Linked DNA regions of Tamandua tetradactyla. The protein of the gene in region 1 binds, or shares a complex with, the protein of each later gene. Links are inferred from orthologs where the notes say so. Each region holds a gene or a part of one and is shown on either strand. Other genes may lie near its edges. The genes, in order: TAF1C, TAF1A, POLR1H and TAF1B.

Region 1 (6,950 bases):
TTGTAGTTGCTGCTGCTGCTGCTGCTGCTGCTGCTGCTACTCGTTACCCTTGGACCTGGCAGTGCTAACCAAATTGTGGCCGTGTGGCTACTTTGGGTTATGAGGAGCAACTGGTGGAACAGAGACCATTTATCTTGGAAGGAGTAGGTGTGGGGGGCCAAGGTAGTTTCAACCTAGTCAAATGTTTCAAGGGTTGGCTTCAGAAGAATTCTGCTTTTTTGTGTTACCCAAATGGTGGAATTAGTCCTCATAGAGAGAATGGACGGGACAACAGGGTTTCAAAAATGGAATGGCTGCTGAATATATCCACAAAGGAACATGAACAGAGTCTTCATAATTGCCAAACCAGGAAACATCCCCAAAGTTCATTTACAAGAGAATGCATACACAAATTGTGGTGTATTTCCTACAATGGAATACTGCTCGATAATACAAAAGAAACTCCTGCTGCATACACATTATGGGTGACTCTTACAGAAATGTTGAGTGAAAGAAGCCAGACACAAAAGAGTATCCTCCACATGATTCCATTTATATGAAGTTCTTGAAGAGATCAGACTAGTCTATAGTGATGAAAGTCATAATAGTGATGACTTCCTGAAGGGGTAATGACTGGGAAGTGGCACCAGGAAAATTTTCTGGAGTGATCGAAATGTTTTCTATCTTGATCTGAGTGGTTGCTACACAGCTTTATGCATTTGTAGAAAATCCAAATGCAAATCCCCCCCAAAAAAATCCAAAAGCTACACCCTTAAAATTTGTGCACTTTACAACATGTAAAGTATATTTTAATAACAAAAAGAAAAGATAGCTTTGAAGATTGAAGGAGCCATGAACCAAGAAACATGGGCGGTTTTTCAAATCTGGAAAAGGCAAGAAAATGGATTCTTTGGAACCTTGTACCGGTCTGAATCAGTGGTGGACCCCAGAAAAGCCATGCCCTTTGATCCTCATTCAATATTGCTGGGTGGGAGCATTTTGATTGTTTCCATGAAGATGTGACCCACCCAATTGTGGGTGGTAACTTTTGATTAGATGATATCCATGGAGGTGTGTCTCCACCTACTGAAGGTGGAGTTGCTTGCTGGAATCCTTTAAAAGAGGAAACATTTTGGAGAGAGCCCCTTTTGATAGAGTTACGAGAAAGCCAGCAGAACCTGCCATGTTCGCCACGTGCCCTTCCAGCTGAGAGAGAAACGTTGAACGTTGTCGGCCTTCTTGAACCAAGGTATCTCTCTCCAGATGCCTTCAATTGGACATTTTATAAACTTGTTGTAACTGGGACATTTTCTCAGCCTTAGAACTGTGAACTAGCAACTTATTAAATACCCCTTGTTAAAAGCCATTCCGTTTCTGGTATGTTGCATCCCAGCAGCTAGCAAACCAGAACAAACCTCTTGTAGGAATGCAGTCCTATTTTCTTTTCTCTTTTGGGTGGTGGTGGCGCATGGGCTGGGAATTGAACTTGGCAAAAGAATTCTACTACCGAACCAATCATGTACCATTAATGCAGTCCTACTGACAGTTTGGTTTTATCCCAGTGAGATCCATTTTGGACTAGTAACTTCCAAAACTGTCAGATAATATATTAGTGTTGATTTAAGGCACGAAATTTGTGGTGATTTGCTACAACAGAAAAAACTCATATAAGTGCCTTCAAATATTTTGCTTACCTACTCCCTAAAATAATTTTGAAAAACTATACATGCCAAATTTTTAATCCCAAATTTAAATACAGAGGTGTAATTTCTGATTTATTATATATTATCATTGTCCTTTAAATATGTTTTCATCAATTTATGAAAAATACTCTCCATATGATCTAATTGGCAAAGCCAAGCAGATAAATCTCATAGTCAAATCAATCATTTAATTCAGATTTACTTCCTATCAGAAAGTCTGGTGTTAATTTCAATTTAAATAAATGTGTTGATATTTTCCCAGAAAAACCATCTCATTTCATTCTCTTTCACTGATTCAGTATTTATTGAGCCTCTACTCTATGCCAGGAACTTTCCTGGATGTTTGGGATACATCAGTGAATGGTCTGTCAATGAATGGAATCAGAGTTCCCAACCTTCTGAATTCTAGGCGTGTAGCCTGTTCTAGTTTGCTAGCTGCCAGAATGCAATCTACCAGAAACTGAATGGTTTTTAAAAAGGGGAATTTAATAAGTTGCAAATTTGCAGTTCTAAGGCTGAGAAGATGTCCCAATTAAAACAAGTCTATACAAATGTCCAATCTAAGGCATCCAGGGAAAGATACCTTGGTTCAAGAAGGCCAGTGAAGTTCAGGGTTTCTCTCTCAAGTGAGAAGGCACATGGCAAACACAGTCAGGGCTTTTCTCTCAGCTGGAAGGACACATGGTGAACATGTGTCATCTGTTAGCTTTCTCTCCTGGCTTCTGGTTTCATGAGCTCCCCAGGAGGTGTTTTCCTTCTTCATCTCCAAAGGTTACTGACTCATGGACTCTCTGCTTCATGGTGCTGCAGCATTCTCTGCTCTTTCTGAATCTCTTTCATTCTCCAAAATGTTTCCTCTTTTATAGGACTCCAGAAATTTATCAAGACCCACCCAAATGGGTGGAGACATGCCGTCACCTAATCCAGTTTAACAACCACTCTTGATTAAATCACATCTCCAGGGAGACCTGATTACAGTTTCAAACATACAGTATGAATAGGGATTATTCTGCCTTTATGAAATGGGATATAGATGGCATTTATGAAATGGCTTTTCTAGGGGACATGCATCCTTTCAAACCAGCACATAGCCTAATCAGATGTTCGAAGTCTTGATGAAATAAGATATCACAGCCAGCAGTATTTTTCTTTATTGAAGTATAATATACATGCAAAAAATGCATACATGTAAAAAAGTGACAGATCATTAGATGAATTTTCACACACTGAACACACCCACGTCACTAGATGAAGAAATAGAATTTTCAGTCCCCAGAATCCCCACAGCTGTACGCTTCCATCATTATTTCTCACACCCAGCTTTTCTTCATCTTCTGGGGGCTCCTGTAGGAGCGCTGCTTTGTGGAATCATCCCCTTGTTCAGCACCCATCCTGGGGCAATGCTCCATGGGTGGGAAAAGAACAACTATGAAAGGCCATACAGGAAAGGAGAACCACCCAACTCCAAGTTCCTCCCAGAGAACAAAACAAAACTATATAGATGGAAGTCAAGAATTTGGAAATGGTTTCTTTTAAAGCAATGGTTTTCAAAGTTGATCCCTGAATCAGCATCGTCAGCAGCCCACCCCCTCCACCCCCCCATCCCCTGCCCTCAGGGACTTCTTAAAAATCCCAGTCTTGGGCCATACTCCAGACCTCCCCAGTCAGAAATTCTGGGGGGTGAGCCTCAGCGCACTGTTTTAACAAATCCTCCAAGGGATTCTGGTGGACACTCAAGTTTGAGAGCTACTGGGTTTGAATTTATCACTGAGCAGTGTTCCTTAAAGCATGGTCCCCTGACAGGCATGTCAGGAGTGATGAACGCAAATTATCAGGTTGCACCCCACCCCTGCTGAATCAGAACCTGGTTTAAACCGCCCTCCAGGTGATGCTGATAGAGACCCACTGCCTGCAACTATACCTGAATAACTTCCCCTGGAAAATCCCCAGGTACTCCAGGGAGCCAGCTTGTTAGGGTTCAAGGACAATCAGTGGGCTACCCACTGGCTAACCCAGGAGCATTTTCTGAGTGGCGCTCAGTAAATGCCTGCTGAATGAATTAATTGAAACGCAAATCAACCCTAACAAGCAGGAAGGAAGTTGGTCAAGCAAAGTGGGGATTCAAACCACGTCCACCTGGCTTTCACATTCCCTCCCCTGTCCGGGAGGGGGCGCGCGAGGACGCTAGGGAGCCCGAGCTGGGAGGCGGGACTTCCTATCGCCGATGGGGCACTTCCGGCCAGACCCGGAAAACTGTTCGTTCGCAACGTGGGTGGGTGTTGACCCCGGCGGTTCGCTGAAGGTAGTGTGGCGGCTTTAGGGCTCTCTCCCGCGTGGAGGGACAGAAGAGCGTCGCGCGGGCTCCCATTTCTCTGACTAGCACCCCGGAAGCCCGGATTACGTAAGTGCGCGGGCCACTCGAACGGGAGGAGAGAGCGCTGCCAGCCGGGCGGCGAGGCGGTCCTGGTCCGAGAGGGGAGCTCGGTTTACTTCCGCGCGGGTCCGCAGGCCCCAAGTGGTGTGGCTTTGGGACGAATTATTTAACATCTGCAAAGTGGGTTATTAGTAGCCTCTGGCTGACGATTCCACAAATGTGAAACGGGGTAGCGGCTGTCTGCACGCTTCCCTGAGGAGCACACAAAGGACTCAAAATCTGAAGGACAGGTAGGATATTGTGAGGCTCCTGGAGGGAATGGATACGGGCTCATCCGAAGCAGAGGGGCAGTGTGCAAATGTCCTGTGGTGAGAAGAAACATAGTGAGGAGGACCCCAAGGAGGTCAGCGTGATTGGGATCCACGGAACAGGGAGATGAGCTGCAGGTGTTTTTGTGTCTGCTGGTTTATTGAGGTGGCGGCTGTCGGGAGGAAGCTTGGTGCACCTGAAATGCAGGTGTGATAGCCTCTTATGGAAGCTAGTGACTTTTCACAAAGATTCACTGAGCACCAGCGGGACCCCCGACACTATCCTCTTCTATTGTGCAAAAGAAATTAATAGTAGCAGCCAGACCCCAGGAACTTAAGAATGAATCAGTTACAATCTTTGCCCTCAGAGAGCTCACAGTCTGGTGGAGGAGACAGGATATACATGAAAACTATGATTACAGTGAGGTTGATGGGTGCCCCAAGAGACTCACTGAATCACTCGACCCTCATTGTGCCATTAGCATAACGGGTGGTGCTGAAAACACGTGGACGTGCAGAGCTACAGCATAAACTGGTAAAGTGCATCACAAGGGAGAAGATTTTTACCTCCTAAGACTATGATACTACTCATTGTTTGGTCTTGGGTGCACAGGTGTGTTGTGGTCCAGTACACGGGCTTTGAATTGGATGAGGGGGTGGGGGCTGAGGTCTTGGGTCTGGCACTTATAAGCTGTTGACTTTGGGCAAGTTGCCATTTACCAAGCCTCAGTCTTCTCAACTCCAGAATAGGCATATCTGGAAGAAGAGGAAAGCATGTAGCACCATGTCTGGCAGCCCATGGCACTCAGTGAGTGCTGCTGTTATTTTTGTGTTTAATTTTAAAAGGGAGATGGCTGCCTGTACTTTTAGAATACTTTGTATTTCCCAAAACCCCCACATTAATAAAAATAAACTTTTATTCAACACACACTTTCTGGGAAGTGCATTTTCTGGGAGGCACTGTGCTTGACAGGGGGAAGACGGATAAGCACAACTCAGTCCCTGGCTTTGGGGGAACTTGAGTCCAGCCTTGGGAGTTAGATTACAAAAGTAGAGTGATAATACAGGGTGTTAAGAACTGTGATAGAAACTGAGCCATCACCATTTGTCTGACTTTCCCTTCCACTCTCCGTGTTCACTCTGTGGCTTCCTGTTTGTTTCCCAAACATGCAAGCACTTTCCTGCCCCAGGACTTTTGTACTAGCTCTTCATTCTGTCTGGAATCCTGTTCCCAGTTGTCTGCATTATTCTCTCCCCCATTAGATGCCATCTCTGCTCAAATGCCATGTACTCAACAAGACTTTCCCTGGCCAGTCACTGACCCCTTCTTGTGGTTGTTTGGTTGTTATGTTTTAATATAGAACTTTTTGTTACTTTCCATTAGACTTATATAGTCATATCTTTTTCAGTATGTTTTTCACCAAGGAAAGTAGATTCCTCTTCGGGCACTTTTTACTCTCCCTAGAAACTCTGGAGACCGTGATCAGATTCAAGTCTCTTGGGAAGGCCAGGGTAAAGTTTGGTTCTTGTTTTCCAGAATGGACTTCCCCAGCTCCCTCCGCCCCACCTTGTTTACAACGGGCCCCCTTGGACTGAGCAGTGTCCCCGACCTGTCTTTTATGTGCAGCTGGAGAGATGCACTGACCCTGCCACTGTCCCAGCCCCAGAACTCAGAGGTGAGGAGGGTAGGAAGGGGCCCTGAGAACTCCAGAATGAGCCGTTGAATTGAGTCCCCTTTCCTAGCACACCAGTTGGCAAGGGCCTAGGGTGGGCGGTGGTAGCCCAAACCCATGAAGACACAGGCTGAGCCAGAGCCCGCCCTGTCAAGGTATGTGGGAAGCCCTTGTCCATGGACGGCTTACCTGGTGAGAGCTGGGGTTCATTCTGTCCTGCCTCCCTGTCCGAGTCCTTCATTTGTTCATATTGAACAGTCCTGACCGTGTCCTGACATCTTACCAGGTACTAGGAAAACTGGCAGTGAGTCAGATCATAATCCCTGCCCTCACAGAACTCATGGTCGAGCAGGAGTAAACAAGCAAACATATCAGTGAATGAAATAATTTCAAATTGTGATAGCTTTGAGTTTGAAGCAAAGGGACAGAAACGGGGTGTAGTAGGGACGACGCTGGGAGTAAAAACCACAGCCTGCCTGTAGGCTGCCTGGGTTCCAATGCCAGCTCCTCTCCTTATTGGCTCTGTGACCTGCAGCAAGAGACTTAACCTCCCTGTGCCTTAGTTTCCTCCTTGGTAAAGTGGCAATTACAGTTGTACCACCCTTGGAGGGTGATTGTGTGAATTGAATTGAGCATGTAAAAGTGGAGCGCTTGTTGTCGTGGTTGTGGTTTTCTTGCAGAATGTGGCACTGCCCTCAGCCAAGGGCCTGTGGTGGGAGCCAGAGACCCCTGGACCCCTCCCCTTGCTGCCTCCTAGTCCTGGTAAGGCTCCCCTTCCTCTGGTCGGCTCCCAGGCTGCCCCACCTGTCACTCCTCTCCCCAGCCCTCTGTCCCCTGAAGCCTTCCCTCACCCTCCTGATGCTTTCTGCTCCCCTGGGGTCCCTGGATCCCTCCAGTCACCTGGGACACCTGG
Region 2 (7,230 bases), on another chromosome or scaffold:
GGGGGCAACAAAATAAATTCTCAAAAACTTAAAAAATATTACTAAATAAGGTTAAGATGTCAATTCTACCCACGGTTACTTACAGATTCAATGCTTATTACAAATCACAGTAATAAAAAACAGCATAGTACTGACAAAAGGACAGAAAAATAGAACAATAGAGTCAAATTGAGAGTTCAGAAATCAACCCTTACACTTATATCCTTCTGATTTTTTTTCTCTTTTTCTTTTCTCTTCTTTCTTTTTTTGCATGGGCAGGCACTGGGAATCAAACTCAGGTCTCTGAGAACTCTGCCTGCTAAGCCACCTGGCCCGCCCCCAACTGATTTTTGACAAACGGGGAAGGACCATTCAATTTGGAAAGAACAGGCTCTTTAACAAATGGTGTTGGGAAAACTGGATTTCCATTTGCAAAAGAATGAAGGTGGACACCTACCTCACATCATATAAAAAAGTAAACTCAAAATGGATCAAAGACCTAAATATAAGAAACAGAGCTATTGACTCGTAGATGAAAACATAGGGAAGCGTCTTCAGGATCTTGTGTTGGGCAAGAGTTTTAGACTTCACACCCAAAGTTCAAGCAACAAAAGAAAAAATAGATAAATAGGACCTCCTCAAAATTAAAAACTTCTGTGCATCAATGGTCCTTACTATGAAAGGAAAATGACAACCCATACAATGAAAGAAAATATTTGGAAGCCACAAATCCAATACATAAAGAAGTCCTCCAACTCAACAACAAAAAGATAACTCAATTTAAAAATGGGCAAAAGATTTGAACACACATTTTTCCAAAGAAGATAGATAAATGCCCAAACAACACATGAAAAGATGCTCAACATCATTAGCATCACAACCATAATGTGTTACCATTTAATACCCACAAGAATGGCTATTATTAGAAAAATACAAAATTACAAAGTGTTGGAGAAGATCTGGAGAAATAGGAACACTTTATTCATTTCTGGTGGAAATGTAAAAATGGTGCAGCCACTCGGTGGAAAACAATTTGCCACTTTCTCAGATAGTTAAGTATAGAATTGCCCAGCATATATGTCCCAGCATATATCTAGGTATATATCCAAAAGAATTGAAAGTAAGGACTTGAACAGATATTTGCACACCGATATTCATAGCATCATTGTTCACAATCGCCAAAAGATGGAAGCAATCCAAGTGTCCATAAACCAGTGAATGGATAAACAAAATGTGGTATATACACAAAATGGAATATTATTCAGCCATAAATAGGAATGAAATTCTGAAACATGCATCAACAGACAAAAGAAGGTGGAAACAAAGTACAAATATTTTATGATTTCACTAATATGAAATAATTAGAATAACCAAACTCATATGGTCAGAATCTAGGTTACAAAGGGATGGGGAACGGGGTGGAATAGGGAGCTGTGTTAGGTTCTCTAGAGAAACAGAACCAACAGAAGAGATCTGTAAATATGAGATAAACATTTCTCATGCAACCGTGGGAATGGAAGAGTCCAAAATCCATACGGCAAACTGTGAGGCTGGTGGCTCCAATGAATGTTCTGGACAGCCTCCTCAGGAGAAGTGAAAGAGTCTCTCTTATTCACTAAAGACCTCCAACTGATTGGATTATCTCAGTGCAGGAGACTGCCTTAGTTGATCACACATGTAATCAGCCACAGATGCAATCAACTGACTGACCAACCTTCTAGTTTATCAACCAGCCACGAAATATCCTTGGCCAGTGCTTGTCTGACCAGACAACTGGGCACAATCACTTGGCCAAGTTGATACCAGAACCCAACCATCACAGGACTTAAGGCTTAAAATGTAGAATTTCTATTTGGAATGCTGAAATGTTTCGATAATAGATGGCGGTGATGGCAGCATAACATTGTGAACATAATTAACAGCAGTGAAATATATATCTGAAATTGGTTCAAAGGAGGAAATGTTAGGTTGTACATATGGTACCAGAATAACATTAAAAAACAAAACAAAACATGGAACCGCATAACACTAGCTGTGAGTCCATGGAATATAGTTAATTTTACACTGATAAAAAATGTGCTTTCATCAATTGTCACAAATGTACCACACAATGGAAGGTATTAATAATAGGGTGAAATGTGGAGACCTGTATTTTATGCATGATTACTCTGTAAACCCACACCTCTAAAGAGAAAAAAAACTGATAGGATGGACTTAGTTGGCTGTATCCAAGGCTAGATATCAAAAAGGAAATGACACTCCTGAGGGGGAAAAAACAGCAGTAAATTAGATTGAACAAGAGGCCTGTCCACAGGCCCACTTCATAATTATACTCCAAGGTGGCCAGCTCCTCTCAGGCCTCAGAGAACTTTCCTTCCTCCATGCCCTAGCCCACATATCAGCGCAGCAATACCTGTTTGTCATATACCAGGTCAATCTTGTGGTCAAGGAGGCCCCAGACCTCGGAGATGGCTGTGGTGTTGCTTAGCATGCAGACTGTTCACTGTGCCACTGCGGGGTTGTGGCAGTTGATTTCAATCTTGAAAGCCACTGGATACTAGTCCATACACAGGATGGTACTCTTGATCATAGCGATGGTGGCAGTCACATCCTTGAGCTCCACTTTTCCACTGTAGAGTATGCAGCAGACTATGCACTTTCTGGGGGAGGGTCACACTTGGCTATCTGGAGGGTTAAAGCAGATACTAGTCACCTCTGCCACTGTGAACTGCTCATGTTTCAGCTGAGACAATGGGCAAGTAGGTCATCAGGGGAAAGTGGATGGAGGGGTAGTGCACCAGGGTGGTCTGGCACCCTGTGCAGTCCATGTTCAGGAACCTGTCAACGCACAGGGAGGTGGTGATGGAGGGAAAATCTGACCAGTGAGTCAGACTGTGATTTAGCATGGTCAATATTTTTAATCTCTTTGTCCCAATGCATGTTCTACCAGAGTTGTACCATGGGAAAGGAAGGGTAGGTAGGGCATATAAACTTACTAGTTCTTAACTTTCTCTCTTTTATCTACTGCTGTGTAGAGAAACTAGAAATTTCTTCCCCACTTAGATGAGAACATCAATTTCTAGCCACATAAAAGCAACTCTGGGTTGGTTTTGGTGAAATTATATCTCATGGCAATGGACTAAATATATCCAGATTAAGGTCTAGGCTGGGGGGCTAATAACTATAGTTTTGTGTGTGTGTGTCGTGCCCTCCTCTACCACACCATCATATAGATCAGTGTTGCCTGTGGCACTCGAGCACATACTTGAGAAAGGCCAAGCACTTATATGGCATAGCAGGAGGAACTTTTCTTGCCAGTATTTATGAATGCAACATAGAAATAAGTATTCCTAACATTATAAGGAATCACTTACATGCTCTTACTAGACCTTTAGTTGCCTCCGCAGTACACTGATTGTGCTCAAATGGTTCATTCTGGGGAGGAGCTCAAAAGATTCCTGGAGTCACCGACACCCTTATCGGTGCAACTTTAGCTATTAACAAAAATCTTTCTTGGAACGACTTTAAAAATGCCTCCTTCTAGCATTTATTCAATCAATTCTATCCTCTCATGCTATACAAAAGTAATCTAAACCTCCCTGGACGGATCAGCTCTCCAAATATCCGAAAGACACATTATGTTCACGTGTATCTCTGCTTTTCCAAGGTCACCCTCCTCGAAACCCTTAACTGTCTCTCATTTCACATCGTTTAACCATTTTATTTTTGACCCCTATTTCATACAGGTTTTTCAATGTCACTTACGGAAAATGGCCCAACACAAGTACTCGGAATCGTCCCCGCTGAGGACCAAATAGAGATTCTAGTCCGAGTTTTGGGGAGGCAGTCAGGGTCGCTTAAACTCACCCGAAGGTCAGAGCTAAAACTTTAATAAAAGGAAAAAGCCAATTAGACGGCTAGCAAGAGGTCCTATCGGGGTCGCTCGCCACGCCTCCGTTCGCGCAGCCCGTCAGTGAGCAAGCAGAAACCGGAAGGTCCCGCACGGTAAGTCACTCGGGTAATGTGACAGCCTGCTTTTTCGACTGTTCTTCATTTCCAGCCATTCTCCGTCGCCCCAATATCCACTTGTAATTAGAATCTCTCCTTTTCCGGCTGGGACAGATTAAAACGTGAACCTGAGACCATACCCACGAGAAAGCGGCAAGTCTCCACACCGGCCACGAGGGGCGGCCGTGACGTCACCACGGCGGCGCTGGGGGCGGGGCTGCTCCTGCGCACGGCCCGTGCTCCCGAGCGATTCTCCGCGTGCTCACGCGAAGCGTCGCGGACGTCACTTCCCGCGAGGTTTTGTTCGTGGTGTCCCGCGAAGTTGGAACGCCCAGCTCAGCCGGGCCCAGGGGCTTCACGCTTCAGGCGAGTACGTGTCGTGGACGTTGTCTGCGGCACCGCCTGCTTTCCCGGTTGAGCGGGAATGGCTGTGCGAGGACGCAGGTGTGGCCCGGTATTTTCTCCTGGTGCGGTGAGACCGTGAGTGAGTCGAAGAGAGAGAGCGGAAGCCTTGTTGCCGTGGTAGCCGCGCGCTTCACCGCGGGGTTCGGCGTGTTTGTGAGCACGGCCTCGGTCGGGACTCCTGGACGGCCCCGGGTGGGTCAGCCTTGGTCACCTTTCTTGTGACCTCAGGTAGATGACAAGATAACACTAAACCAGGCTAGTTCTCGCCTGCCATGCCGGAGACCCGGGTTCCATTCCCGGTGCCTACCCATGCCAAAAAAATAAAAATAAAAAATAATAATAATAATCACACTAAGCCCCTCAAGTCTTTTCACCGTCAAAATGCGGTATTTACCTCAGGATTACTGTGAAGATTAAATTAGGTAGTTTGTGTGGCTGACATATAGTAAGATCCCAGTACATCTCAACTGCTACTGCTACTCTTGTTTTGTCCTACTATTATTTCTCATTTTTCTCTTTCTTGTGGACTTGAGTTTGTTTTTGAGTAAAAGGACAATATCTTGGTTATCTCTGTATGTGATTGCTTATAGTTGATGTTGTATTTTTTTTTATGTTGCTGACATAATTATATCTTATTTTTACTTTAAAGGAATTCCCAAGTACAGAAAAATTTTGCTGATCAAGTATTTCTTAGATCAGAAGACGACTTTTCTCTGTAACTCAGAAGCCTACGGATTAAGATGTACAGAAAGTAACTGATATTCTCAGTTTCGAGTAGGTATGAGTGATTTCATTGAGGAATCAGCAAGGCCCGTGCCCGAGGAGGATGGGGTGGACATGTCTGTGCTCTCTGGTACAGGAATTTATTTCCCTTGGCTCCGAAAGCAAATAGAAACTGTGGGTAAGTAAAAGAACATATGACCGTTTAACTATAATGCAAGGCAGTGGTTAGATTCAGTATGGATGCGAAATGAATAACTAGGTTGGGGAGAGCTTCAGTTTTCAAGGTAGGAAATAGGTGATATACTTTTTAGGCTGTAAGGAAGAAAACAAATCACAAATAGGTCTTTTTTTTTTTCTTTTAAAATTCTTTTCCTTTGAATTAATAACAAGTAGTCTGTATTTCTTTTTCCCCAGCAAGACTTATTTCACACACTTATTTGGCATTGGCTAAATACTGGTGATATGCAGATTAGTAACGTTGGGACTCTGCCCACTGAGGAATGCATACCTAAGAAGTGTTCAGGAAGTTCTTGTTGAATTGCACTGGAATGATTTCAAATAGAATTAGTTTTAAAAAAGTGTTTTCCCCCATTTTCATTTAATATAAATATGAGCAAGTTTTTCGATGAGATAAATTCCCTACTGGATTGAATAAGAACCAGTTATCTACATGTTGGCATGTTGGGTGATGTAGTCCTGGGAATACATTTGAAGCATTATTTTTATTATTGCCCTCAATCCGTGTTTCGTAGCCCATAATTGAAATCCCTTAGCTCCTGTTTTTTTTCCTTCTAACCTGAGTATCATTTCATTAATTATCTCAGTAAATTAATCCTCATAGCAGTATATATGTCAGGCATTTTAGAGATGAAGAAACTGAATCTTAGAGAAGTTAAACTATAAGCAGTGGTGTCAGGAGTCAAACCCAGGTCTGTTTGATCTCAAAGCCTGTGCTTTTAACCACTGAGCTATATAAAAAGTGAGATAATATATTTGAATTGCTTAGCATAGAGCCTCATGCACAGCGAGTGTTGAAAAATTACCAATTCCATTCCTCTCCTCATTTTATTTTAACTAGGTTAATGCATATGACTTAAGCGAAGTTTGACTGTATTGTACTTCAGGAATGATACCTCACCCCTTAGAACTAGGAACCTGAAGTGTGGGGTTAGGTAATGCTACTCAGTTTCTGCTAGTTAAGATATACCTGGGTATGTTTCTGTCACCAGGGATCTATAGAGAGTTTGATTAAGTCTGCAGGTAAATAGGTTTAAGACCAGAATTTATGTGCTTAGAAATGTGTTATTATGTATTATGGATAGCCTTTTAAACCCAAGATATTGTATATCTGCAATGAGAAAATAGTAATAAATAATATTGGCACTGTAAGTAACGTACAGTATTGACGTTGTAAGTAACTATAGTTTGAAAACGAAATTGCCTAAGAATTATTTTTTTATACTAGTAGAAAGTTTTTGGCATTCTGAAGGATCTGCCCTCCTCCCCCCTAGAATGAAAGCTCCTTTAAGGGAGGGGTCAGTCTGGAATAAAGATTTATGCCAAGCACCTAGAATTTGTTGACTGACTGACAACTTTCTGGATTCTTTTAGGGGCTGATTTTTGAATGACTGGTTCTTATTTATAGCTCATTCCATGCCAAAACTTCTTTTCCTTAAGAAATATTATTATTACTATTTTTATAGTTCTTTTTTTAAAACATTTTTATTGTAAATAACAAACATTCTTGACACTGTTAGAATTAGTGGCTCACAATATCATCACATAGTTGTGTATTCATCACCATGATCCTTAGTTTTAAACATTTGCATATCTCCAGCAAAAGAAAGAAAAAAGAAAAAATTCATACATGCCATACCCCTAACCCTTCCCTCTCATTGATGACTAGTATTTCAAGCTACTCAATTTTTAAAATCTTTGCTCCCCCTATTATTTGTTTATTTCTTATCCATATTTTTTACTCATTTGTCCATACTGTAGATAAAAGGAGCATCAAACACAAGGTTTTCACAGTCATGCAGTCACATTGCGAAAGCTTTAAGAAACATGGCTACTGGAACACAGCGTGATAATTTCAGGCATTTCCCCCTAGCCACT
Region 3 (7,501 bases), on another chromosome or scaffold:
GTACAACGACTGAGGAATGGAAGGGGGAACTGTGGTATATACATACAACAGACTACTAAGTAGCTGCAAGAAGTAATGAAGATGTAAGGCATGCAACTAGGTGAATGAACCTTAAAGACTATGTTGAATGAAATTTTAGGAACAAAAAGACAAATATTATCATGCCTCAACCTTATGGACTAACCATAATATAAAAATTCAGTGAACTAAAGTTGAGAACATGGGTGATTAGGTTGGGGCCTATTGTAAAGGGTCTTAGATTGTAAGCTCTTACAGCAGTCACATATATTCAGGGGATCTAACTGTTAATTCTAAATTCTGAGATACTGAGCTGTTTGTATATAACATGGTCATTCCCAGAAACTTCAGGTATTTATGTGACATCTAAGACTCAGAACTCTGAAGCTATGAAAGTCATCAGTACCCCACACAGGAACTGTTTAAAAAGTTAAAAAAGTGATCAGACATCAAGTAGCGACATGAATGAAGCTGATCCAGATATAACTAAGGTATATCAGAATACAGTTAAAGGATGATATCTATATTTTAAGACTTCAACTTCTGTGTGAGACTAAAGGGAGAGATGTTTATTGGGTGCAAAATTTATATTTTAGGTAGTGCATTTCCTAATTTAATTAGTACGGTTAGTTTAGTTGAACATTATAAGTATATGGAATCTTCAATAGGGGGTGAGATTTTGTTGGTTTGTTCAAGTTAGTGTGATGATCTGATAAATCCCAGAGTAATCTGGGCAATGAATAAAGAAGTATTTGCAAAGTCCCCTGGGGGAATGGGAGAAAGGAGGAAATATTCAACTTCCCCCTTTTGGAGAATTTCTGATATTCTCACTAAGCAGTGTGGACAACCAAATCAATAAGCCAAGCCCTCGATCTTGGGGTTCATGAAACTTATTCTGCAAATGATAGGCTAAGGCTACATATAATTATGCCTAAGAGTCATCCCCAGACAACCTTTTTTGCTCAGATATGGCCTCTCTCTAAGCCAACTCAGCATGTGAACTCACTGCCCTACCCAATACGGGGGATATGACTCCCAGGGGTGTAAATCTCCCTGGCAACACAGGACAGAAATCCTGGGATGAGCTGGGACCCGGCATAAGGAATTGAGAAAGACTTCTTAACCAAAACGGGGAAGAGAGAAATGAGACAAAATAAAGTTTCAGTGGCTGAGGGATTTCAAACAGAGTCAAGAGGTTATCCTGGAGGTTATTATGTATTATATAGATATCCCTTTTTAGTTTATGGTGTGTTGGAGTGAGTGGAGAGAAGTACCTGAAACATTTGAGCTGAGTTCCAATAGCCTTGATTCTTGAAGATAATCGATTGTATAAAAGATATAACTTTTACAGTGTGACTGCGTGATTGTGAAGACCTTGTGTCTGATGTTCCTTTTATCCCAGCTATGGGCAGAGGAATAAAAAAATATGGATAAAAAGTTAATAAATAAATAGAGGGGACAAAGGGTAAAATAAATTGGGTAGATGGAAATACTAGTGGTCAATAAGAGGGAGGGGTAAGGTGTATGGTATGCACGAGGTTTCTCTTTCTTCCTTTTATTTCTTTTTCTGGAGTGATGCAAATGTTCTAAACAATGATCATGGTAGTGAATATACAATTATGTGATGATATTGTGAGCCATTGATTGTACACCATGTATGGAAGGTATGTTTGAAGATTTCTCAATGAAAATATTAAAAAGAAGACCATGCATTTTCTTACTATCTGAACTGTACAGATATGAGGGATATGACCAAAGAAGATAATTATTCATTTAGTAAAAGGTAAGCCATTGGATTTGTTTAGCTGGCAAGTAGATGGAGAAAGGGCAGAGGGAGGGGAAATGACACTCACTTGCAGTTGGTACAGGTGTAGAAGACAGTCTGCCCTTCATCGGCTGAGCGCATCTGTCTGGTCTGGTATGCCATTCCTTCATGACCACATCTAGCGCAGCGTCTGTCAACCTGGGAAACAATTGGTGGGACAGGGAAGGCCTAGTCAGTATCTCCTTAATTCGCATAGGAATCAGGCTGTCACATCCCACAGACATTTCCCCTCTACTTTCCTGGATTTGGGTACAAAACTCTCCATATCTCTCCAATTGCCCCCTCCCCCATTTCTTTCTTCATTTCCCTTACTGAGCCAGTCCTTGATCTCATTAACTTACCACGGGCCCCTGAAACGCTGGTCCTTCTTCTACGGACTTGCGCACGGCTGTTCCCAGTTTGTGAAACACAAATGAGGTCTTCACAACCTTCCCTTCGAAGTCTGCGCAGGCAGTAAGAATCGTTTGTGGAGACAAATGGTGGGAGTAGATACCCGCAACCCCGCTCCCGGTTAAGCCAGGAGGCTCTGCATTCCTTGTGTCACCTTCGGGTCTCCGCCCTGGACCAAAGGTATAAGTGCCTGGTCTCCTGCTCTAGAATCCCCCTCCTTAATCCCAGCGATCTTGAGGTCCCCAAACCTCCGACACTTCCATTCCGGACTCTCCGCCCGGACCACTGCCTAAGAGTCGCTCACCCCGCACGTTGATGGAGAAGCCACAGCGCGCACAGATGACCGTATCTTGAGTCCCGGGCAGGGGCAGAACAGAGCCGCAGTCTGGGCAGAAATCGAGGTCCGACTGGAAGCTGGAGCAGGTCTTGGCGAGGTCCATAACGGAAAGGTGGTCGCGGGTTGGGGAGCGGACGAGCAACGTATTAACAAAATAAAGGTTTTTTAAAACCAACCTCACCACTCTGGGGTCCTTCCTGTCCTGAACCAGGACCTAGGCATAAACATTCCAAAGCACGCCTCCCATTTCTGCGACGAGTGGGCCTAAGCGTCCAGCACTGCCAGCCCTCTTCTGGAGCCCAGCGGCTTGGTACCCTTCCTGGGAGACGAGCTGACCAACCCCGCGGGCTAGAGCGTCGGCCTCCCAGAGAGCCGCCGAGCAGTCGGTGCATGGCGGCCTAGAGCGTCAAAGCGTCCCGGCTCACGATTGGCTGAGATGTCATAAGTAATCGCTAACCTAAGTCCAAAAGCCTTTCTGAGAGAACGCAAGCCGCGCGAGCGGAACTTGTGGTTTCTTCGGCTTTGTATTGTGACGTCGGAAAAGAAAAATGCTAACGTGTACTGCGCTTCTGGCTGCTTTTATCCCCGGGACAGAACTCTGATATACTTATTTTCTTGGTCTCGCATCATTTGCCGGAGGTCATTCCCTCCAAAACGTACTAATCTTCCTGAATACTTGTTTTACTGACAAGGGAACTACAATTCCCGCCATTCCTGAGCCGGCATCTCCTTTCGGCGGCTGCTCAGTGGTTACAAACAAAGAAAGCTAAGCATTCCGAGAGTTACGGTTCTGGTATTGCTTGGATCCTGCTGGCGGAGCGTGGGCTGCTCTGCAGTGCTCAGCCTGGCACGCGTGCTCTTCTTGGGAGGCAGTTTAGGGGCGCTTGGAAGATGTGAGTTGGCATCTTAAGGGGCAGAAAGTGGTAAGGATGAAGACGGAGGAGGAATACTTAGTCCCTTGAGACGAAAGGAATTGAGTAGGACGTTGGAGGGATTTAGGATTTTGGAGGTAGCGGAAGTGTTTGGAATAGGGGTGTTTCGGGGCTCCCCTATTCTTAGGCACCTGCCAGGCGAGGGAGACTAGCATTAATCAAGGGAGTAGGTAGTGGAAGGCTTTCACGAAGACTTGGGTGAAGTTTGGCTTATTGTTGCAGAAATCCACTCCCGCCCCATTCTCTTTCGCCTCCTGCCCAACTCTAAATCATTGTCATCCATTAGGTGGGCAGTCGACATTTCCCTAATCTTTTCTAAAATTTAAGGGTAGTATCTTTAGAAAATCTTGGTATTTTTGTTCATTTGTAACATATAATCTGTGTACAAATTTGAACTAAAAGGGAAACTCCTAGATGAGTTCCCTGGCTTCTTTCCAGTCCTCCCAGCTCCACCCAACCGGATTGTTCTGATAATCTCCATATGTATATATATATATTTTTTTTCCTGGAGCTATCACTGTTTTTTTCTCTGAAAGAAACAAAATGCCGTCTCTGGGAGATTCTTTTTTTTCCAATAGTGGGGACATACCTGATATTGAATGGAGTTAAAACTTAACGAGCTGCAGGAGAGTGGTAAGCCCTGTAATTTCACTTACTTGAGTGTCATTTCTTTGTATTACAAAGACAGGTCTGTTGCTAAGCCCAGGATGGTAGGCAGTTTCTATGCTTACATCTCACTGTGCTGTCTCCTTTGAAAATGGAAATTGAAATTAGCCCTCCTCGCACCCCAACTTTTCCTTTTCGCTTTGACATACAGTGAAACATCCAACATGTATTGAATATCCTAATGCAGTAAAGGAACTGCAAGCATTATAAGGCATGCCCCTTCCCCAATAAGTTCACATTCTAATCAGTAAATGTTTATTGAGCATTTATGCCAGGCTTTGAGCTGAGTCTGGGGCTACAAAGTTGAAAATTGTTCTCCAACCTCAAGGAATGCAAATGAGTAATGAACACTAGTATGTACAAAATGTAAGTGTCCAGGATGAGCATATCAAATAAATATGCCCATGTGCTTCAAGAAAGACTGGTAAATGCTTTAACGAAAAGATATATACAAAGCCATGGGGATGAAAAAGATGCTGAGACATCATGTGATAAGTATAATAAATAATAAATCTTCACTTTTAAATACTAAGGGGACTTGGAATCACAGACTCATCTTAAATACTGTGTTAGATGTTAATGTGTTATGCATAGGCAAATATGAATGCATCTAAGAGGTCAGTGATTCAGAATAGTTTTCAGATTCTCTCTGATAATATAGAGAGATCATATCTTTGTAAATCTGAATTTTGTTTCTGCTCTTTGAATACACCCAAATTATAGTTGTAAAAATAATGCAGCAAAATGTGAAAAGTGATGTGTGTGTGTGTGTGTCACAATGTAAAGCGTGATTAATTTTCATATGATTTGTAGAAAAAAAGTCTTCAGGGGAAGGCAGAAGCTACTATGAGACAGAGTAGAGCAAAAAGAATTTTTGGAGAGTCATGGACTTAATCTGTGGAGGACAGATAATTGCCATTTACTGAGAACTTACCATATATCAAGCACTATGCCAAGCTCTTTACATCTAACTTGTATTTGTTCTTTATAATCTTTATAACCCCAAGAGGCAGAATTGTGTCTTGTCTCTGTTTTACAGATGAGGAAACTGGCATAGAGGATAAGTTACTTGCCCTTGGTATACACACCTGGGAAGTGGTGGATTTAAGATTCAAGTCTAACCCTATCAGGCTCCAAAACCCATGCTCTTAATCATAAAGGGTGTAAACAAAAGCACAGAGATGAATTGCTAGGCATCCTCAGTAGCTTAAATACGACCTCACAGTAACTCAGACCAGACCAGGGATGACACATAGAAAGTTAATAGTCTTCATGTGTGTTGCTCTCAGCCTGTCCTATAAGTAAACACAGAGTACCTGCCAGTTCCTACCCTGAAGGGTTCAATTGTAAATGGTCCCATAATGGATTAGTGTGAAGAATGATTGGCAGTGTATGTAAGGCAGCCAAGCAGAAGTGTGGACAATAAAATAACAATTTCAGAGCAAAAGTTGAGCGCACAGAGATGCTGTATGTGCTGATAGAGGCAGAGAGGGCCCGGATCAAGAAACTACAGAAAGAGAATGAACTAATAAAACTAGAGTCTAGAATTATCTCAGAAGATGAAGGAGGCTGGGGGACTGACCAGTCTGACATAGATGTGCATCAGCAATACCTCACCAAGAAGTCTGTCACTTCCCTCGCCCATTCCCCAGTACAAGACTCAGAATGGTTCAAGTTGAGTCCACAAGAGAAGTATGCTTTTAGCTCATATAAAGGGAAAATCCTCTTCTTAAAAGACCATTTATTACTCTCTACCATAGAAATACGATGGTTTCCTTGAGGAAAATGGCCCTGCTATAACCTATTCATGGGTTTTCTCTTTGCGGGGGGGAAATACCATTGGACTTCACCAAAACCATTGGGTTCCTTGATTCAGTTAGATTAGACACTATGTGAGCAGATGTGTTCTAACACCTCCCACATTCTAATCTATTTTTGCTTTTTTATTTTACAGATTGGCCTGGGCTAAAGCATCAAAAGACTCTAGGATTGCTGCAGGCCAACACTCCCCACTGGAGAAAAAGATCTTGGTAAGTAAATTATCTTTGCATCATACAATTTGGAGCTACTAGGAGAAGGAATGTTAGGTTTAAAATCCTTTCCCCCAAATGATACCTTCAGATAGTAAGTCTACACTGAAAAATGTTTCTCAGCTTTGTCCACAGCTGCAAAAAAAGGTATCATTTTGAAAACCCCTAACACTGTACATATTTTTAAACTAGTTATTGATTTATGGTGATGGATAGGTACTTCGTACTTTCAGAGCTTACAGGCTTACCTAGGTGCCATGGGAGTAAAATCACAATTATTACATTGAAGTAAATTAAAAACTATGTATCTTTGCTTGTTTCAGTACTGAGAGTAGGCTCGTCTTTACATATATTCTAAATAAAAAGATGGTGGTCATATTTTAAAATTCTATACCTCATTTTGACAGAATCTAGGTGGCGTGCATACAACAGCAACAAGAAGACTAATAACCCAAAAATATCAAGAAGAGTATAAAACACTCTGTGAGGAGCAGTCTCTTTCTCTTGATTACTGGCTTGCCAAAGCAGAGTCTTATTATAATAAAAGAACAGTGGAAATGATGAAAAAACAAAAGTCAGTCAGTGAAATTGAGAAGAAGATAGAGGAGAAAATAACCCAAGACATAGAGAGACAAAAATGGTACTATTTAGTACCTGAGAGAGAGCTGAAACACATAGAGAGGTACATACATCGAGCCGGACAGGCCAGAGAACTCAGGAATAAAACATTTAAACAACTACGAGTCATTAGTGAAACAACACTACCAAAAATCATGTCAGAAAAACATGGCAACCAGAAAGCACAGAGAAGAAAGCAGGTAGTAGAGAGGGAACAGGTGCAAATTAAAGATCACCAGGAACGCATGATTCGAGGGCGAGAACTTATAGAGCAAAGACTCAAGGAAAGGCTCTTGGGGGATAAACAGAGCCTGCCATCTGCACATGAGAAGCGTGAGAAAGTAAAGAAAGAGGTAAAGGAATTTGAGAGTGTTATTGCATATCCTCTTTTCCAGCCGTACCATGGAAGCCATATTAAAGTGAATATTCTTATGGAAAAGTCTCAGAATGGAGAAGAGAATACAGTTATAAAGCCACCACAAAGAAAATTCTTGACTATGCCTCCCTTTTTGAGGAGTCAAATAGGAAAAATTAAGGATTAATAAAGTTTCAGTGCTTTTATGATAAAATCACGTCTTAAACGAACTTTTTTTCTAATGCTTTTCCTCATCTTTCCCCAGAATTCAGTGAATATGCCCATTCTGGGAAGTATCAGAAAGTTCAGGGCTTGAAAACTAACTTAGCT
Region 4 (7,251 bases), on another chromosome or scaffold:
CTTGTTTAAGAACCTTGGCTTGCTCCATATCATGAAGATATTCTATGTTGTTTTCTAGAAACTTTATGATTTTATTCATCACGTCATTCTATGATTTATTTCAAATTAATATTTGTATAGAGTGTGAGCAGGGGTCAATATTTTTTTCTTATCAATGCTCAACTGATACAGTACCATTTATAGAAAAACCATCCACTCCCCACTGATTTGTAATGGCACCTTTGTTGTAAATCAGTTAATCTTATATGTATTTAGGGGTCAGTTTCTGGACTTTCCATTCAATTTCATTAATCTTTTTCTTTAACTTTGCACCAATACCACATTGATTTTTTAGCACTGCTCCCATAAACACTGGTGTGCAAATATCCATTTGTGTCCCCACAAATGGATTTCAGGATTATATGACAACCCTACCCCTAGCCTCCTGTGGAATCACCACACTGCCCTCCAAGGGGCTGCAACTCTCATTTTCCCTACTGACAATGAATAGGTACATCTTTTTTTCTGCATTTTTTTCTAGCACTTGTTTCTCTCTGTTCGTTTTTAAACAGTTTTATTCACATATCATAAATCCAACTTAAGTATAGAGACATGATGTTGCCACCAGAACCTATACGAAGACACTTCTTTTTCTTCCACAGAGAATCCATACCTTGCCCCATGCCCCTCCTTCTTGGCATTTAGTTTTGGCATAATGCCTTTGTTATATTCAGTGGAAGCATATTACAGTGTTACTGATGACTACAGACCCTAGATTGCATTGATTGTACTTTTTCCTGTATACCATCTGTTCTAGTTTGCTAGCTGATGGAATGCAATATACCAGAAATGGAATGGCTTTTGAAAGGCGGAATTTAATAAGTTGCTAGTTTACAACTTATTAATTGGGACTAAGGCCGAGTCCGAATTAAAACAAGTCTACACATATGTCCAATCAAAGGCATCCATCCAGGGAAAAACACCTTGGTTCAAGAAGGCTGATGAAGTCCAGGGTTTCTCTCTCAAGTAGAAGGGCACATGGCGAACACAGTCAGAGTTCTTCATCTGCTACCTCCTTCTCCTGGCTTCCTGTTTCATGAAGCTTCCCGGGAGGCACTTTTCTTCTTCATCTCCTAAGGCTGCTGGCTGGTGGACTCTGCTTCGTGGTGCTGCAGCATTCCCTGCTCTCTCCAAATCTCCCATTCTCCAAAATGTTTTCTCTTTTATAGGACTTCAATAAACCAATCAAGACCCATCCAGATGGGTGGATACATGTCCTCACCTAATCCAGTTTAACAACCACTCTTGACTAAATCACATCATCCGGGGAGATGATCTGATTACAGTTTCAAACTACAGTATTGAATAGGGATTATTCTGCCTTTATGAAATGGGATTTTGATTAAAACATGGCTTTTCTAGGGTGCATACATCCTTTCAAACCAGCACACATTTTCAACATCTTGCAATGTGGACCATCATTTGTTCTCCCTCATGCAGAAACGTTTTTTATTTGCACATTTAATCACTGTCATTGTCCCCTTTAGTCATTCCTAAATTATGTCAATTCAGTCTTTATCTACCTTTCCTTCTGGTTTCATATGTGCCCCCAGCCCTTCTCCCTCAATCATAATCACATTCAGCTTCATTTAGCGTACTTATTGTTAGGTCGGGGGAATAAGGGAGGGCTGTAAGGCTGGAATCATGAAGTCACTCCAGAACAGGAGGTGAAGGGAGGTGAACCATTACAATCAAGGTCCTTGAGCAGCAAACATCTATTCACGGACATCTAACCACCCGCTGCTCAACCCGTTAGCATAATAATCCTTTGTTTAATATGCTGCCCCTTTCATGTCATCACCTAACCCCTGCCCTTAAAAACTGCACTCGCCAAAGCTCATGCGGGGACTCACCTCCGTCCCTCTTGGGTTCGGTGAGCTCTGCCCCTGAGTGCAGCCCAATAAAGCATGCTCATTTACAATCCTTTTGTCTACTTTCCTTTCTCTCAAATACCTCATATCTTAAAACCTTTTACTTATATTATTGTGCTACAGTCAGGTAGTACTGTGCTATCCATTTCTGAATTTTTACAATCAGTTCTGTTGCACAATTTGTATTCCTTCAGCACCAATTGTCCAATCTCTATCCTATTTCTATCTCCTGATAACCCGTGTTCTTAACTTTAACCCTCAAAGTTCACTCATTAATGTTAGTTCAAATTAGTGAAACCATACTGTATTTGTCCTTTTATTTCTGGTTAATTTCACTTAGCATAATTTCCTCAAGGTTCATTCACATTGTTATATGCTTCATGACTTTATTTTGTCTTACAGCTGCATAATATTCCATCGTATGTATATACCACAGCTTGTTTAGCCACTGGTCTGTTGACAGACATCTGGGACATTCCATTTCTTGGCAATCAAGAAATAACTAACTTTTACAGAGGAGGCAAACTGAAGTAAGTAAAAACAGAAAACAAAACAAAGTAAAATAAAATGAAAAATGTGATTAGAAAACCAGGTCTGATGCAACAACTTGTGTTCTTTTTCAAATATCTCATCCATGCTATTGAAAGCCAGCAAGAAAAAAAAAAGGCCGGTTAAGTACTCCCTCTCCTCATGCCTCCCTCCCTGCAAGCCTGATCCCTCCAGAAAGTGTCTCTTTTCTCAACCTTTTCTTCCATCTTGCTCTGCATCAAAATGCACCTGTCCCATGCACCATCTCTTCAGGCCCACAGTCTCTATGTTCTAGGTGATGAGGCAGAGATTGTGGTAAAAAAAGAGTCCTACCTTCCTGGCAACATGGGACAGAGATCCTGGAATGAGCTAAGACTCAGCATCAAGGGACTGAGAAAAACCCTAGAATGAGCTGAGAATTAACATCAAGGGATTGAGAGAACCTTCTTGACTAAAGGGGGAAGAGTGAAATGAGACTAAGTGTCAATGGCTGAGAGATTCCAAACAGAGTCGAGAGGTTATCCTGGAGATTATTCTTACGCATTAAGTAGATATCACCTTGCTGTTCAAGATGTAGTGGAGAGGCTGGAGGGAACTGCCTGAAAATGTAGAGCTGTGTTTCAGTAGCCATGTTTCTTGATGATGATTGTATAGTGATATAGCGTTCACAATGAGACTCTGTGAATGTGAAAACCTTGTGTCTGATGCTCCTTTTATCTACCATATCAACAAAAGAGTAGAACATATGGAATAAAAATAAATAATAGGGGGAACAAATGTTAAAATAAATTTAGTTTGAAATGCTAGTGGTAAATGAGAGCAAGGGGTAAGGGGTATGGTATGTATAATCTTTTTTTTCTCTGTTATCATTTTATTTCTTTTTCTGTTGTCTTTTTATTTCTTTTTCTGGATCGATGCAAATGTTCTAAGAAATGATGAATGTGCAACTATGTGATGGTATTGGGAATTACTGATTGTATATGTAGAATGGAATGATATCTTAATGTTTTGTTTGTTGTTAATTTTTTTTAATTAATTAAAAAAAGAAAAGAAAAGAGTCCTAGGCTTTTGTGAAAATTTCAACATTGAAGAACTACTATGTTGAAAATTTGGGTATCCACAGAAGGCCTGAGTCTGGTGGGAGAATATAACTGCACTTTCGGTGAGACCCCAGTTGCCCTCAGATTCTGTATTGATGCCTTCTTCATGTGAGGGAAAGCTGCAAGGAATCCACCTCCTCTGATGGAGAAGAAACTGAACAGAAAAGACAGCTTGTGGAAGACGTTAAAAGACTCACTGAAGAAGAGAGAAAATATGACATGATATCCCTGCTTCTGACTCCCTCACTCGCTCTCTCTGAATTTTATCAGGCAATTTCAGATGCAGTATTCCGCTTCAATATTCTGTGTCTGTCTGTCCCTCTCTCTTTAAACGTATACCTGTAGGTAATACCAAGATCTGTATGACTATCTCTTAAGATAATTTTGTTTTGCTTTTAATAGTTGGATAGATTTTGTCAGTCAGCGAAGATGCTGTTTTGTTTACTAAATAAAATTGGCATTCCAATTGCCTCATTTCCCTTATTAAAAAAAAAAAAAAACCCAGTAAGGGGTGGAGAAAGGAAGCCGTGCATTGTGAGCGCGGGTAGCTCTAGCTCTGGAACTTGGCCCTCCCTAGCCTCCCTAAGTCTCGCAACGAAAAAATGGGTCCTGTAAGGCACCACCATTAGAACGAGGCGTGATTGGATTAGTTCGGCAGCAGGCCCCGCCCAATTGTTTATTGGCTGGTTTTAGTTAGCAAGACTAGAAGCGCCTACCGGATTTACGCAGTTTTGCCCCCAGAGCTTGTCCAGGTTTCACCGAGGCCGCAGGCACCCGGAACCCAAAGCCAGGGCTTCCTGTTTCCGGCAGGAGGGCTGCACTATCCGCTCCCGAAAGCTGCGCTCCAGACCCGGTTCATAGTGCCCGGCGGCGGTGGTGGCGGCGACGGGGGCGGCGCCGTTATGGACCTAGAGGAGGCGGTAAGGAGGCGGTGCCGCTGGCTGCCGGGGCACAGCTGGGACTGGAGCGGAGTGAGGCTAAGGGGAAGGGGTTGGAGGATGCTAAGTGGCTGTGAGGCAGGCCGCCGAAAGTAGAGGGGCGGGCCGGAAGGATGCGAGGCCGGGAAACGGGCCAGGGTTGGCGGGCGACTCGAGTTCTTGGGAACGAGACAGGAGTTTCAGGCTCAGCGAGGTTGTGGGTGCAGGCAGGGTGGTTTGTTTGTGATATGGGTGTGTTTAAGGAGGAAGATGAGGTTGTGGGTTTTGTGGGGAGGCCACCCACATGGCGCATCCTTTGTCAACCGGACCACCCACAAGTTCCCATTGATGCTGTGGTGGGGGAGGGAGGGGCAGAGGCTGGAACCAGAATCCACCCAAGTAACCCCTGCAGATCTCTCTGGGAATCCTCGCCTCGGTCTGGTGCAGTGATTCCAAATACCGGTTTGCGGACACCCCAATGTTAAGGTAGTTATCAGCATGGGGTCGTTGAAGACTTGACCACGTTGTCAGAACAATTTTGCTTTCATTTTTGACATGCCTCATAAAATGCTGCATTCTTTAATGGTGTCGACGAAGTGTTAGGTCTTCTTATCAAGAATAATAAGTTGTGCAACACCTAAGACATTAGGAATCAGTGATTTAGTGTCAGTCAGAGTTAGGTCTTTGACGTACAGAAGCAGTATGATGATAGAAGGCCTTACTCATAATAGCTGCTCAATAAGTGTTCATTGATTGATGAATGGTTAATATACATTAATAATTATAACTCACCATTAGCATGTATACTCTGAGTAGGGATCACGTAGGGATCACGTCTGTTTCACTCACCATTGAATCCCTAGCGTCTAGTAAAATGCCTGATACATTTAGTTATACTCAAATAACTATAATAGTTGATACTCATTATAATTGCTGAATGAATACAATGAAACTTGAAACAATTCTAATAAAAATCTGGTTTCTTTGTGGTGAGTGTGTGTTTTTAGGGACCTGAAGGAGGTTCCAAATGATATGCTATTTCTATGTTTTAAGTCTTCTCTATACTTAAAGCTTGCCTTTTTTTCATTCAGTGTTTTCAAGGAGTTTTATTTACTCTTCTCTGTTTGCAGTTTTACCCTTACCACCTTTTCTTCTTTTTCCTCACACTATATATATTTTAGAAAAGAGTTTGATTTGCTTTATACTGGTTCAGAGACTGAATTGTTATTCGCCTCTGATTTATTTTTATTTCGATGATTTTCATTTATAAAATGTATTAAGTGTAATTTGTTCGTTAACACCTTTTCTATCCTCTTTTCCTATAGAAAGAGTTCAAAGAACGCTGTACTCAGTGTGCTGCTGTCTCTTGGGGCCTTACCGATGAAGGCAAATATTATTGCACTTCGTGCCACAATGTTACAGAAGTAAGTAATTGATGTATCATTTATGAATTCGTTTGCTTCAAAATTGCAGTTTCAGCCTGATATATAACACAGTTCCCAAAGAATATTTATTTTTATCACTCATGAAATGTGAAAATTCCAAGAAATGTAAGTAGTCTTCAAGTACTTACACACGGGTTAAGGAATTTGTGAATTAGATTTAAGGTGAGTTTTTAAAATTAAGTTGGGCCACACTTTTAAATGATTTTCTGATTCGGCATTTAAGATTTAAGGGGAAATAATTGAAATTGTACTCAGAAGATGATACATTTCTATGTTAGTTAATGCTTAAGAGCTTTTAATATGCTTCATATCATTTTATTTTTGTACAGTACCTTACAGATTACAAAGTGTTTTCTTATCTCATTTCTTCTTCATAGGGAACTGTGAGATATGTTATGTGAGTATATAGATGAAGCATCTAGGGTTCACAGGATTTGAGTGAGCTTGCTAAAGGTACCAAGTGTGAAGTGTCTGAGCCAGAACTTGAGCATGAGTCTTCCTTACTCTGGGGTTCTTTTCACCCCACCACACCTGCCTCTTAAAATAGAAATTATCATGCAGTTCTGTGTGATCTTGGTGAACGGGGAGCTCTTGGTCCTGTTCTGGTTTCACGCTGTAAGAGTAACAGAACCAAAATAATCAAAGGTGTGGACAGCCTGCTAAAATGCAGGACTCTGTTGAAAGGGATTTGCTCCGAGTCTACAGAGGCAAGATGGAGCAAATAATCACATTCACCAAGTAAGCTTAAGAAAGACAAATATGGAGCAGATAAAAGTAAATGTGTAGACTTCTGGGCAAGATGAAGTCCCTGGGACCATATTTATTTTCCTACTTGAAACAGCTGCAAACCTGGGCAAAATATATGAAACAAGTAAAAAAAAAATGTTTTCTTTGAGAAAAGTGGTTAATTTAGCTGGCAGCTCAATTGCACAAGTGCTTTTCCTTGAGACAATTGTTGTACTTCAGTCTTCAGCTGAAGGGCTCGTGTGTACTTCCCATGTGTTCACACATAGTGTTAAAAAGATTTGTTCTTGCTTGATGAAATTGTTGGGGTGATGGGCATGCTAATTATCTTGATTGTGTTGATGGTTTCAAGGACAGCTCATCAAATTGTACGCTTTATAAATATATTCCGTTTGGTGCCTCTGCCTTGATTTGTGTTAAGTCTCTAGCGATTTTACTTACCATTGTTTTGCACCAGCAGTGCAAATGTAAACATAATGAAGAAACATGATAACTAAATGGACTGTTTACTGTCTGCAAAGTCAGTATACTATTTTTGTAGAAATTGAGCTATATTAGCTAATTGCTTCTTTTATTTCTGCATGTGATAATGTTTCTATTTGTTTCT

The links.
Region 2: TAF1C (region 1) and TAF1A share a complex: the UniProt entries of both Homo sapiens proteins name them as parts of the transcription factor SL1/TIF-IB complex. The link is inferred for Tamandua tetradactyla from reciprocal best matches to the Homo sapiens genes TAF1C and TAF1A.
Region 3: TAF1C (region 1) and POLR1H share a complex: the UniProt entries of both Homo sapiens proteins name them as parts of the pol I pre-initiation complex. The link is inferred for Tamandua tetradactyla from reciprocal best matches to the Homo sapiens genes TAF1C and POLR1H.
Region 4: TAF1C (region 1) and TAF1B share a complex: the UniProt entries of both Homo sapiens proteins name them as parts of the transcription factor SL1/TIF-IB complex. The link is inferred for Tamandua tetradactyla from reciprocal best matches to the Homo sapiens genes TAF1C and TAF1B.

What each region holds. Positions count from the first base shown.
Region 1 is NC_135342.1:78,858,757-78,865,706, reverse strand, and holds the start of TAF1C (TATA box-binding protein-associated factor RNA polymerase I subunit C), read left to right. Parts: upstream 1-3,928; 5' UTR 3,929-4,083; intron 4,084-4,089; exon of another isoform or gene 4,090-4,346; intron 4,347-5,901; 5' UTR 5,902-5,902; coding exon 5,903-6,040; intron 6,041-6,717; coding exon 6,718-6,799; intron 6,800-6,950. UniProt on the Homo sapiens protein: Component of the transcription factor SL1/TIF-IB complex, which is involved in the assembly of the PIC (pre-initiation complex) during RNA polymerase I-dependent transcription.
Region 2 is NC_135330.1:83,117,600-83,124,829, reverse strand, and holds the start of TAF1A (TATA box-binding protein-associated factor RNA polymerase I subunit A), read left to right. Parts: upstream 1-4,228; 5' UTR 4,229-4,353; exon of another isoform or gene 4,354-4,620; intron 4,621-5,041; 5' UTR 5,042-5,172; coding exon 5,173-5,293; intron 5,294-7,230. UniProt on the Homo sapiens protein: Component of the transcription factor SL1/TIF-IB complex, which is involved in the assembly of the PIC (pre-initiation complex) during RNA polymerase I-dependent transcription.
Region 3 is NC_135331.1:84,544,496-84,551,996, reverse strand, and holds the start of POLR1H (DNA-directed RNA polymerase I subunit RPA12), read right to left. Parts: upstream 3,005-7,501; 5' UTR 2,674-3,004; coding exon 2,538-2,673; intron 2,286-2,537; coding exon 2,185-2,285; intron 1,982-2,184; coding exon 1,872-1,981; intron 1,473-1,871; exon of another isoform or gene 1-1,472. UniProt on the Homo sapiens protein: Core component of RNA polymerase I (Pol I), a DNA-dependent RNA polymerase which synthesizes ribosomal RNA precursors using the four ribonucleoside triphosphates as substrates. Can mediate Pol I proofreading of the nascent RNA transcript.
Region 4 is NC_135329.1:56,007,146-56,014,396, forward strand, and holds the start of TAF1B (TATA box-binding protein-associated factor RNA polymerase I subunit B), read left to right. Parts: upstream 1-4,237; 5' UTR 4,238-4,440; coding exon 4,441-4,458; exon of another isoform or gene 4,459-4,630; intron 4,631-5,780; coding exon 5,781-5,879; intron 5,880-7,251. UniProt on the Homo sapiens protein: Component of RNA polymerase I core factor complex that acts as a GTF2B/TFIIB-like factor and plays a key role in multiple steps during transcription initiation such as pre-initiation complex (PIC) assembly and postpolymerase recruitment events in polymerase I (Pol I) transcription.